Linked DNA regions of Nothobranchius furzeri. The protein of the gene in region 2 interacts with the protein of the main gene of each other region in a pairwise test. Links are inferred from orthologs where the notes say so. Each region holds a gene or a part of one and is shown on either strand. Other genes may lie near its edges. The genes, in order: pin1, ankrd40 and ahcy.

Region 1 (2,854 bases), on a different chromosome or scaffold from region 2:
CACAAGTCAGCGACTCCATGCAGTCTGCTGGGTTTTCTTACATAGGAATAATGAACTGATCTCAATGCACCAATAATAATGTTGAACTGGAATGAAATTAAGTGGATGCAATTTCAAGTCCAAACACTAAAGAGCCAGATAGGAAACTTTGTGTAAAGATGTTGGACTAATACTTAGCCCCTCTGTATCGTGGCCCCTTGATGGCCCCGTATTCAGAAAAATCTGCCACTGCTCTGGAATTAGCTTCAGTTAGCAGTCATTCGCTTTACATGTCAGTGATTTATTTTGGGGGACGAGGGGTCCACTAGCTGGAGGAGATCCAACAAGGAAGTCATTTGGGACCAGGAACCAGACAAGTGACAATACACTCAGTTTGTAAAATGTTAACAAAATATCACAGAGCTGAAGCAGACGACTCAGTACACAACTATCTGGGAAGGTTTTCCACCAACCCCCTTGTTTTTATTTGTTTCAATCTGTTTTTCTGTTACAATACTCAGGCATATTTCTGTGTGGATTAAATGTTTTTAGGAATCTAGAAACCTGAAACGTAACATAAAAAAATTTGACAAAAAAATTAATAAAAATGAAACAGATTTTTTATTATTTTTTATTTGTATTCCCCAATGACAACAGTGGTAACAGTTCATCTGAGCATTAAAGCTATAAAAGCCTTTACTTTACGCTAAAACCTGCAAGCTTTTGATAAGTCCGGGGGGAACAGACCATGCACATTATCAACCCAAAAAAAGAAATGAAGATTTCTGAATCTCTGCCGAAAACAAAGTTTAACTAAAAAGTCATGTGATGAGAGTAAAGAATGTAAAATAACACTTTGTTCACCCTAACTGTCTTTAAAACCTTCTAAACAGAACCAAAGAAACAAAAACAGATTAGATTACTGCTTAGGCACACACCAACAGCAGGAATGAAACCTGTTACAGAAAAACATAACACTCTGACATGCACGACCCGATTCTAGCATTTTGCTTTAGCTCATTTTTGCTGAGTGTTTCTGGAGGGCATTTATTACAACAGGCAATAATGTTCATATATGCCGGCCGTTTTCTGGTTATTAAAAGCTTGAAGTAATCAGGAATATCTGAAACGCTCATTGCATTTCAGTGTCATTTAATTATCCTTTGTTTTTCTGTCATTCTAAGAGCAGAAGGTGGTGCTGTGTGTGTGTGTTGCATTCAGCCCGTGCGTAAGATGATGTGGACTCCAGAGTCGGTAAAAACAGGACCACTCATGTCTCCCACTTTCAGAGCAAAGGAGGCGTCTTCAAAAGGTTTCTGCATCTGACCTGAAACAGAAATGTTGTGTTAGAGAAAATAATTGTCCTAGTATGTTTCACAGTTTTTCATTCTGACCTTGCATTAATGACCTGTTTTCAACGTAGGAGCTTTTCTAAGATATTTAATGGAATTTTTATTTCTCGGTATGGTTTTTAAAAGCTTATGACCATGTTATGCTGTTATTTCCTTATGAAAAACACCCCCAAAGTGTTGAAAATAGAAAAAATGCTGGAAGTGCTGCAGCGGTGTAAAACATTATCTGGTACTCTCACTGGTGCTCTTCAGCCAAGGCATCCACATGAATGTATAGCAAAAAGAGGTCTGAGTTTCGATCTCCTGAGTATGGCAAGCCAAATGAGCATTTATTCTGATATCAGGATATCAGCCAGAATTGTCATGAACATGTAAGCCATTTCTGTCCACTAGTTAACTAGTTAGCCATGTTTGTGTCAACTAGTTAAATAGTGACAGCCTAAATGTCAACTAGTTAACTAGTAAGGCCTAAATTCTCTCTAGTTAACTAGTTAAAATGTTTCATATCTTACTAGTTAACTAGTATTGCTCAGTGTGTTCACTAGTTAACTAGTGGACAGATCAATGTCCACTAGTTAACTAGTTAAAACACATTTAGTTTTTACTAGTCAACTAGTAAGGTACAAAAACTCGTACTAGCTGACTACTGAATGTAAAAATCCCACTTGTTAACTTTGCCCAATTTGGCCAGCCGCTTGAGCATTAATTCTGATATCTTGTCAACAGGTCAACTAGTTAACTAGTGAGGGTCAAACTGTACACGCTAGTTAACTAGTGAACACATTTTGACCTTCACTAGTTAACTAGTTGACACAAAAATGGCTCATTAGTTAACTAGTAAAGGCCAAAATGCATACCAGTCAGCTAGTTGAAGGTATTTGTGTCTCACTAGTTAACTAGTCAGGGTCAAAATGAGCCCACCAGTTAACTAGTGGGAGACGGAAATGTTCACTAGTTAACTAGTGAACACATTTTGGCTTCACTAGTTAACTAGGTGACACAAAATGGCTCACTAGTTAACTAGTAAAGGCCAAAATGCATACCAGTCAGCTAGTTGAAGGTTTTTGTGTCTCACTAGTTAACTAGTGATGGCCAAAATGTGCACACCAGTTAACTAGTGACAGAAGAAATGCCCACTAGTTGACTAGTGAACACATTTTGGCTTCCTAGTTAACTAGGTGACACAAAAATGGCTCACTAGTTAACTAGTAAGGGCTAAAATGCATACCAGTCAGCTAGTTGAAGGTTTTTGTGTCTCACTAGTTAACTAGTGACAGTTCAAAGTGTCCACATGTTCACTAGTGAAGGCAAAACTCCTAACTAGTTAAGTAGTTGGAGTAGGGCAGTGCCACTAGTTAACTAGTGAACCATTAATGACTCACTAGCTAGCTAGTTGATTGTAGCAGGCTCACTAGTTACCTAGTTGATGCATCCATTGTCCAAACTAGTTAACTAGTGAGGACATAAATGTATACTAGTAAACTAGTTCAAGCCTACATTCACACTAGCTAGCTAGTTGCACA
Region 2 (4,340 bases):
ATCTTCTCCACATGTTCAGCGCTGATGTCCAGCTCGCGGCAGCAGACTCTCAAGAGGGCGCGGTAGGTGAGCTCCTGACGGTCCAGCTCCACCTCGATGAAGTCGTTCTCTCGGGCGTTTGGGTTCTGGATTCGAACCTTCAGCACCAACTCTAAAGAAACAGAAACAGGGACACCTCTGTCAGACATCGTGTGCGGAATTGGGGAGAGAGCTGGCCTCTGGTTTTAAGTTTGTTGTGAAACTGGATCAACTCTTGTTATTCGACTGTCCTTTTTCAACAGCTGTAATTGCATTACATCGCTGTTAGGGGTGGATGATATCGTCATCGTCTTCCTCTGCTTATCCGGGTCCGGGTCGCGGAGGCAGCATCCCAACTAGGGAGCTCCAGACTGTCCTCTCCCCGGCCTTCTCCACCAGCTCCTCCGGCAGGACCCCAAGGCGTTCCCGGACCAGATTGGAGATGTAAGCGTTAAAGCTACGTGTCTCAAATGTCCCACAGGCACCTTTATTAATTTGACATTTATAATTACACAAAAATAATTTAAATTCTATTTAGAGGTGGCTCATATCCTATAATTCCTAATTTTACTACAGAAAAAACTATCATGTTAAGCTAAATTTGTGATGTGTTTGTATCTTCTACTCAGATGATCCTGCTAGTTTGCCCTCACTGCTCTCCATAGCTGTTTCCTGATTACGTGGGGGCGGGGCATGGCCTGTTTCTCCACACAGACGGGATAAACTAAACTCTGATCGGCAGCCACGGTGCAAAGGCTCGCTCAAACACAAAGTAACATCCCCAAATAATAAAAGCCACAAAGCCAAACGCAAAGTTTAGAGAAAATTGACCCAGAGGTTTCCTGATCGAGCAGATGCATGAGAATACATAACCGCTTAGAGATGGACCAAGCTAGAGGCTAGCGCTATTTGATTATGGTGTGCTTCTTCAACGACGTCTGCATCTTAATGCATCGATTATTAGATTATTTTCCTCAGCTAAACACAAACACGCTGCCTAAAACTTGCTCTTATTGGTTCATTGGTATGTCTGACAGCTATGGCCAACAGAGGCAAATGTGTGATGTGTCCAGGAATAACGGCACAAACGGGTGATATAGATCGCAAATATAGACGGTTCTACAATCTCCGAGCTTTGAAAAATCGTCATAATCCCTAATCTTACATCATCAGATCGCACAGCCCTAATCTCCATTCATATGAAGAGTCAACCACAATGCAAAAATTCCTGCATAATGAGTTATAGGAGTTAAAAATGTCACAGTAAAACCACCTTGAACGTTGACAGGGAAGGTGCTGGTGAAGAAGAAGGGCTGAAAGGCCGGCATGGGTGCATTGCCCTGGCTGTAGCTCAGCTGATGTGGAATGGACTGCTGCCTGCTCATGGTGGGGTTAGTGCTGGCCACCGGGGCCTGAACCTGGCTGCTGCTGCTGCTGCTAGCCAGTCCTGGACATGCTGCAGCCAACGAAGGGGAATTCACGGTACCGTTGTGTGCCACAACATGGGGGTAATCAGCATGACCGATCAGATGAGGCTCCACTGACAGGTCTATAGGCACGGTGCGATTAACAACAGCATGACTGTGAGACGAGGACACACCATTTTGTTCAGAATCGGGAATAAGTTCACTAGCTGGGGGTTGACCGTGGTTAACAGTAGGATTTGGTGGAGTGGAGACACCAGAGACCATACTCTGGGACCTCTGAAGCTCATCTGTTGAGGAAAGGGAAGCTGAATCACTCTGAGTGTCTTCGCTGTATTCTCTAGAGCCGTTCTGTGCATGACTCTGGATGATCTCAGACTTGTTGTCCATCTTGGAATACATGAAGGGCGGGTTGGACAGATAATTTGGGATGATTGGCAACTCAGGCTCCTTGACTTCAGGCACTTCTTCCACCTCAACTGTGAAAATATAGAGCAAAGATGATTGACACCAATGTCTGTTTTATATCTGGAAAAGTCATAAATGATGCAACACTGAGAAGTTAGTAGAGGTGTAATTCACATATCAGTAGGAACTGATAAGAAGAAAATATAAGACAACTGATTAAACAAAAAAGAAGCAGTCATACCTCCTAAGAGTTGCTTAATCTCTGGTTTGGAAGTTAACTGTGAGGCCAGCTCATCCTTAGCGGTGAGGATTTCTTTATCCGCCCCACAGCTGAGTAAGTAGGACACTATGTGCTTATGGTTCCTCTTACAAGCCCAGTGCAAGCAAGTCCTGTTGGAAAAAGACAAACTTTATTCAACAATGAGCAAAACACAGATTAAAATCTCCAGACATGTCAACAAACTAGTGGCTTATTCAGATAGAGAGTAGTAGTGAGTCTGTGTCCAACACCAATTTAAAGCCACTTCCGGTTTGGAAGAGAAAGACAAAAAGCGCGAAACAGGTTAAAACAAGCTCTGAGCTTAAAGGGATAACGCTGCCCACTTTAATCCCTGTACTGCTACACAACGCTGCCGAAAACAACTCGAATTAGTTTCGGCTTCTTTTAAGCCAGACTTCTGAACGGCAACCCTCACCATCCGTTGATTTCGTTCTGAGAGTTTACATTGACTCCACTCTCCACCAGTGACCGCACTTCGTCGATATCTCCGATGGCTGAGGCTTCTCTCAGGCGCTCCTGTAATTCTTTATCCAAAGTCGTGGACATTTTTGGCAAAGCGACTAGCGTTGTGATATCATATGATTAAATAAATGCCTAGACAACTGGTTAAGTTTGTAATTATCCAAGAATTTCCCCCAAATTGTCCCCGGCTAACCTAACCAGCTGGGCTAGCTTGGTGTTAGCTTGTAACAGCAAACTGCTTCCGCTAATCTGACTCTGAGGGCTTTCGGCCCTTAAGCAGCGACTTCTGTCCTCATCATTTACTCCTGGTGTTACCGCTCCACCAGCGTTCCTCCGTTTACTCGCTTAATCCTAACAGAGGAGACGGGGCTCCACCAGAGTGCTGTCAAACACCACCACAGCCACCTGGTCAGGGGTGGGGAATGTTAGGATGTGACAACAGAGCGAACGAATGTTAAGAGTTCCCACCCTCATCTTTCTTAAAATAACTTGTTTTCAATTTCCAATTAAAAAAAACTTTTATACTGTAAAAATGAGCGCTTTTATTTAACAAGATTAAAAATTTAAAAAAAATTGTAATAAAGAATGTATTTAATTAACACACGTGTTGCTTCCATCACGCTGGAAATGGTTGAAAGAAAATGATTCTAACTATTCAAAATAATTGTAACAATGTTTATACTTAATATAGCTATATCAGTAAGGTCTCGCCAATGTGCACCACTTAATTGTATTTATTTCGATCAAATTAATCTAACATGCTGCAGTTCTCAATCATGTCCACAGGAGGGCATTACATTCCGAACGGTTACAAGCATGGACTGGAGCCGGGGTGTTGCAGCAGATAGCCATCTTGGATAGGTCCACATTTTTTCCCCGGTGCTTTTAATTCTGTGAGCGTCCTGTCACAGTGTCTATTGAATCAATAGTATTGATCATGCGCCCTGGCTACTTGGCCAAGGGGATATCCCTTTGGCTGACTGGTTAGCACACATGACTCTCACCTGGGAGTCTGGGGATCAAATCCTGCCCGGGCCCTCGTTTCTCCACCTTGCCACATGAGGATTGTGTTTACTTAACTGAAGAAAACCCATTTTATTACGCTTTTTCACAAAATCAGAGATATAGTATGGCATGGTAATTAAAATATAACTATAATCAAACAAAATAAATTAACTAATATATTAAATCCCAACAGGTATGCTAGCAATGTCAATGGAAATTCCACATGATCTGTTTTCAGTAGTGCTCTGGTTGCTGCAGCGTAGGTTGCACAAAACACAGGCATAGTTGCCCAGCTGCATTGGCTCCAGTTTGGTTTGAAGAGTGAGGAAACTACCCAAAATGGCAGTGGTGTTTTAAGTTCGCCAGTGCCCAATCGGGTGTCAATGTATTCTTGTCTAAGATTCCAAGTAGGCCTAATTCAGAATTTTTATGTGAACATGTTTTAGATCAGGGGTGTCAAACTCATTTTAGCTCAGGGGCCACATTGCGAGAAATCTAGTCCCAAGTGGGCCGGACCGGTAAATTAAAAACAACTTCAGATTGTTTTTTTTTGTTTTAATACAACCAATATAAAACAAGGCTGGAGCCAGAGGACAGTGTATCCAAAATGGTGCAAGTGCAACACCTGAAGTGTACTTGAAAATTTGAAAAAAAAAATAATAATAATAATCAATCAATAAAAAATACATTCCTTAGTGATTAAAAGAGCTTACAGATCACATGGCTAGATCAGTTTCGTGCAG
Region 3 (3,656 bases), on a different chromosome or scaffold from region 2:
TCTCCAAAAATAACACAAGCCTGACGGAGTTCTGCTGTGTGGTGGAGTTGCTAATGCTAACACATTCTCCCCCGTCATGAGTCAAGATGGGTGAGCCCATGAATCTTAAATGACAGAGTGACAGATCTGGCTTTTCGAATCCTAATGCAGGAGATGGGTGAATGAATCTATTTTCATGTTCACGCCTGCATGAAAAACTCAGAGTGACAGTAAAAAAAAAAACGGTTTCCCTTATGATGTATAGATATTTGGACTCTGGACGATATTCTTTATGAAGGAAAACAGATTAGGCAAAAAATGAACGAGTTCTGGTACCAGGTGAGTAATAGACTCGATAAATCCGTTATTTATACTTAGGGCTGCGCGATTAATCAAAAATTTATCGTTATCGTAATTTCTGACTAACCGATATAATTTCTCCCATGTCAATAATTTCAAATTAAAAAAATATATAAAGACGTGTAAATTGGTGACGTTCATGTCCCTTTAAGAAGCTGTACCACTTTGAGTCACATGACAACGTGACTCAATAGCCTGGTTCCTCGCTCCAGGTCCAGGACACATGGGGATAGGACATTTTCTGTTTTAGCCCCGCCCCTCTGGAACAAGTTACCTCTGAACATGAAGCTGTCTCAATCTTTGGCTGCTTTAAGAGTCGCTTGAAGACTCATTTTTATCATCTGGCTTTCATCTAACCTGTCTGGTGATTTTAATAGTTTTTATCTTTGTTTGCCATTATTGACCATTTCTTTTTTTATCCTAGTTTTATTGGTGTCTTGTTTCTATGTTTTATTTGTGCTGTGTTCAGCGCTTTGGGTCTCCCTTCAGGATGATGGAAAGCGCTTTATAAATAAAAGCCGATTGATTGTTCGAGACGAGCAGCGCCTCGCCTGGAAAAGAGACGAGAGCGACGGACGCAGCAGGAGGAATGGCTGAAAGCCGGCGTTTAAGTCTGACGCGTTTCCCTACATGTAGCGAGTGACGATGGCTGAAGATATCGCGTTAGTGTTCATAATAGTGGAAAATTCTGGTGCCCATTAGCAACTGAAACACATCCTCACATGCTTGTAGATATATTCTAGACATGTGCATCTGAAGATATGACTCTGTAGTGGTCATCATCAACCTAACATGATTTACAGATTACATATGACCATCTCACATTCTAGCACAGCATGTTTGGATCAAAATAGGAACCAATCAGATCTTCGATCAGACGAGAGCCAGGTTTTTCAGCCGACGGAAAGCAACTGCAGCGCCTTGCTCCAAATTTGAGATCACGAGGCCATCGTTGCCTACGTAGGCGTGATGTCAGAACAAGTCGGCGTAAGTCGGACACAAATCTAATCAGCATGCACTGCACACCGATCACTGGTGATGTAATCTGCATAATCTGCACAGAACTGGCTCCTATCGAACACGCCCCATCTGGCGGACGACTTTTGTTTTTGCCCACACGTGTAGTTATTGAGGTGAACTCCCCAATATACCATGATATTGATTTTAGCCCATGACGCCAGCCCTACCTATTATCTATATGGCGTCTACCTCCAGTGGTCATTGAGCAAGGCAGAGGCAGCCTGGACAGGTCTCCAGTCCATCACTGGGACACACAACCATCACACACTCACACATGCCTAGTGACGATTTAGTCTCCATTTAACCCAACATCCATGTTTTAGGACTGTGGGAGGAAATAGGAGAAACCCCACAAATATACGAGAACATGGTACCTCCACACAGAAAGGTTGCAGCTGGGATTCAATCCTGTGACCTTCTTGCTGCAAGACAACAGTGCTACCAACTGCACCACCATGCAGCCCTTCATAAACAACAATTATACAAAACACTTATAATGCAAGCAGGATCATAAGAAGAAAATGAAACCAACCTGCTAGTAGTTTGGGGTACTTCTGGTGGACCAGATTGGTGAGATCTCCTCCATCGTCCAGGATCATGTTGAGGGGCTTGTCATCTTTAAAGTACAGAGTCTGTTCGATGCACCAGATGTACTCCTCATCCGTCTCGCCCTTCCACGCGTAAACTACAGAAATGGCAACATTTACTTCCTTTTATCTCTTCTTCAGCATTTTCATTGCTTTATAGCTGCAGACTTGAAGCAATGAAGGCCTCACCAAACTTCATGTGTTACCTGGAACGCCCGATTTGGCAATGGCTGCAGCAGCGTGATCCTGAGTAGAGAAAATGTTACAGCTGGACCACTGGACCTGAAGGGGAAGAGAAGGTGTAATGAGTGTCAATTACATTTAATTAAGGACCATAAGACATTAAAAATTCATATCGAGTATGAAATCCATCTTATGGACACTGGGTTATTTAAATCAGAAGATTGGATCTTTTTATTGCAGGGACTTTAAACAACACTTTGTATTAACTGAGAGACAAGAGAAGAGAGACCTTCAAATGTTTAAGGAAATTTATTACTAAACAATTTTAAACAATTTAACAAGACTAACTCTCTAATGATGGATGCTCTGTTTGAATGAGGTGTGAGATGGTTGGTGTGTGGTGAATGAGTGTCATTCAGAACCCCCGTATCCGGAAAAACAAAGTCTGAGTGAGAGATGATGTTCTGCTCCTAACTTATCAGAGTAGCTTCATAACCACATGAGACGCCATATTGTCGCATCCACATACCCTCAGAATTGAGACCTCCGTACAGATCTGGATGCCAGGTCCACAGACCCTCCTCTGGTACTGGAGCCGATGGAACAGCGTCAACAGTACGACAAACCAGTCTTTGGATAGTCTCCAGGTAAAAAGCGACAGGTGTTTCACAGCGTCAAAAGGGGACCCTCCTTGGGTCAGCGAGTTCAGCTTTTATTCTGAAAGGTACCGTTGCTTGGTTGGTAACAACGCAACAGAATTCTCCCAGCTTGAATGGTTCTCAGCTTAAAAAGAGAAGTACAGATGGCCAGTCCAATACTTCACTTAACATACGGTGAACTTCATGGGATCTTGAGAACGAGATCTTGAGAACTGAACTTAAGATGGCGTTGGAACTGTTATATTAATCTGGATGTTTTTGATTCTGGACGAATCAAAGCTGACAGATTTATAAACACCACAGAGACTCTGCCACGCATCAGACTAGGAAGGTTCTGATTGGATCAGTACAGCAATGTGTCATGTGATTGTTTACCTCAGTGTGTCTAGTGAACTAGAATAAGTCATTTACTTATTAAAAACATTAATCATAATATTGTGATTTCACAGATCGGTCACATTGTATTATTGACTACAGTAACAGTTGTTTTGATTAGCTTTATTGAAAATAGAGTTCTTTGATTTAATAAAAGAAAAGAGTCTCTTCATCTTCTGTCTTCATTGCTGGAAAGTAAACAGTTTAGAAGCGAATGCATGACCTTGAGGCTGTTTCATGCACTCTGGCGCTGTGTCAAAGGGAACTGTGGAAAAGGTTAAATAACCTTGGAGGAATAGCTCCTTCATCACAATACAAAGGAATTAAAACAGCCAGAGTTTAGTTACCACAGGAACAAATGGATCATCAACAACCGGGGCCAAATCACCTTTACCCCTTTACCACAATCCAACTCCAGCACTCCACATGCGAGTTAAGGTTTACACGAATGCTCACCAAAACATTTATGCACAACAAGCCAAAAGCAGCTTTG

The links.
Region 1: the proteins of ankrd40 (region 2) and pin1 interact in binary tests that used the Homo sapiens proteins (3 or more experiments, as listed by UniProt). The two-hybrid records come from large-scale screens. The link is inferred for Nothobranchius furzeri from reciprocal best matches to the Homo sapiens genes ANKRD40 and PIN1.
Region 3: the proteins of ankrd40 (region 2) and ahcy interact in binary tests that used the Homo sapiens proteins (3 or more experiments, as listed by UniProt). The two-hybrid records come from large-scale screens. The link is inferred for Nothobranchius furzeri from reciprocal best matches to the Homo sapiens genes ANKRD40 and AHCY.

Annotation. Positions count from the first base shown.
Region 1 is NC_091744.1:9,177,020-9,179,873, reverse strand, and holds the end of pin1 (peptidyl-prolyl cis-trans isomerase NIMA-interacting 1), read right to left. Parts: intron 1,307-2,854; coding exon 1,197-1,306; 3' UTR 582-1,196; downstream 1-581. UniProt on the Homo sapiens protein: Peptidyl-prolyl cis/trans isomerase (PPIase) that binds to and isomerizes specific phosphorylated Ser/Thr-Pro (pSer/Thr-Pro) motifs.
Region 2 is NC_091752.1:53,186,104-53,190,443, reverse strand, and holds the start of ankrd40 (ankyrin repeat domain-containing protein 40), read right to left. Parts: upstream 2,891-4,340; 5' UTR 2,677-2,890; coding exon 2,546-2,676; intron 2,241-2,545; coding exon 2,092-2,240; intron 1,922-2,091; coding exon 1,292-1,921; intron 152-1,291; coding exon 1-151.
Region 3 is NC_091743.1:74,933,156-74,936,811, forward strand, and holds part of ahcy (adenosylhomocysteinase), read right to left. Parts: intron 2,229-3,656; coding exon 2,153-2,228; intron 2,045-2,152; coding exon 1,892-2,044; intron 1-1,891. UniProt on the Homo sapiens protein: Catalyzes the hydrolysis of S-adenosyl-L-homocysteine to form adenosine and homocysteine. Binds copper ions.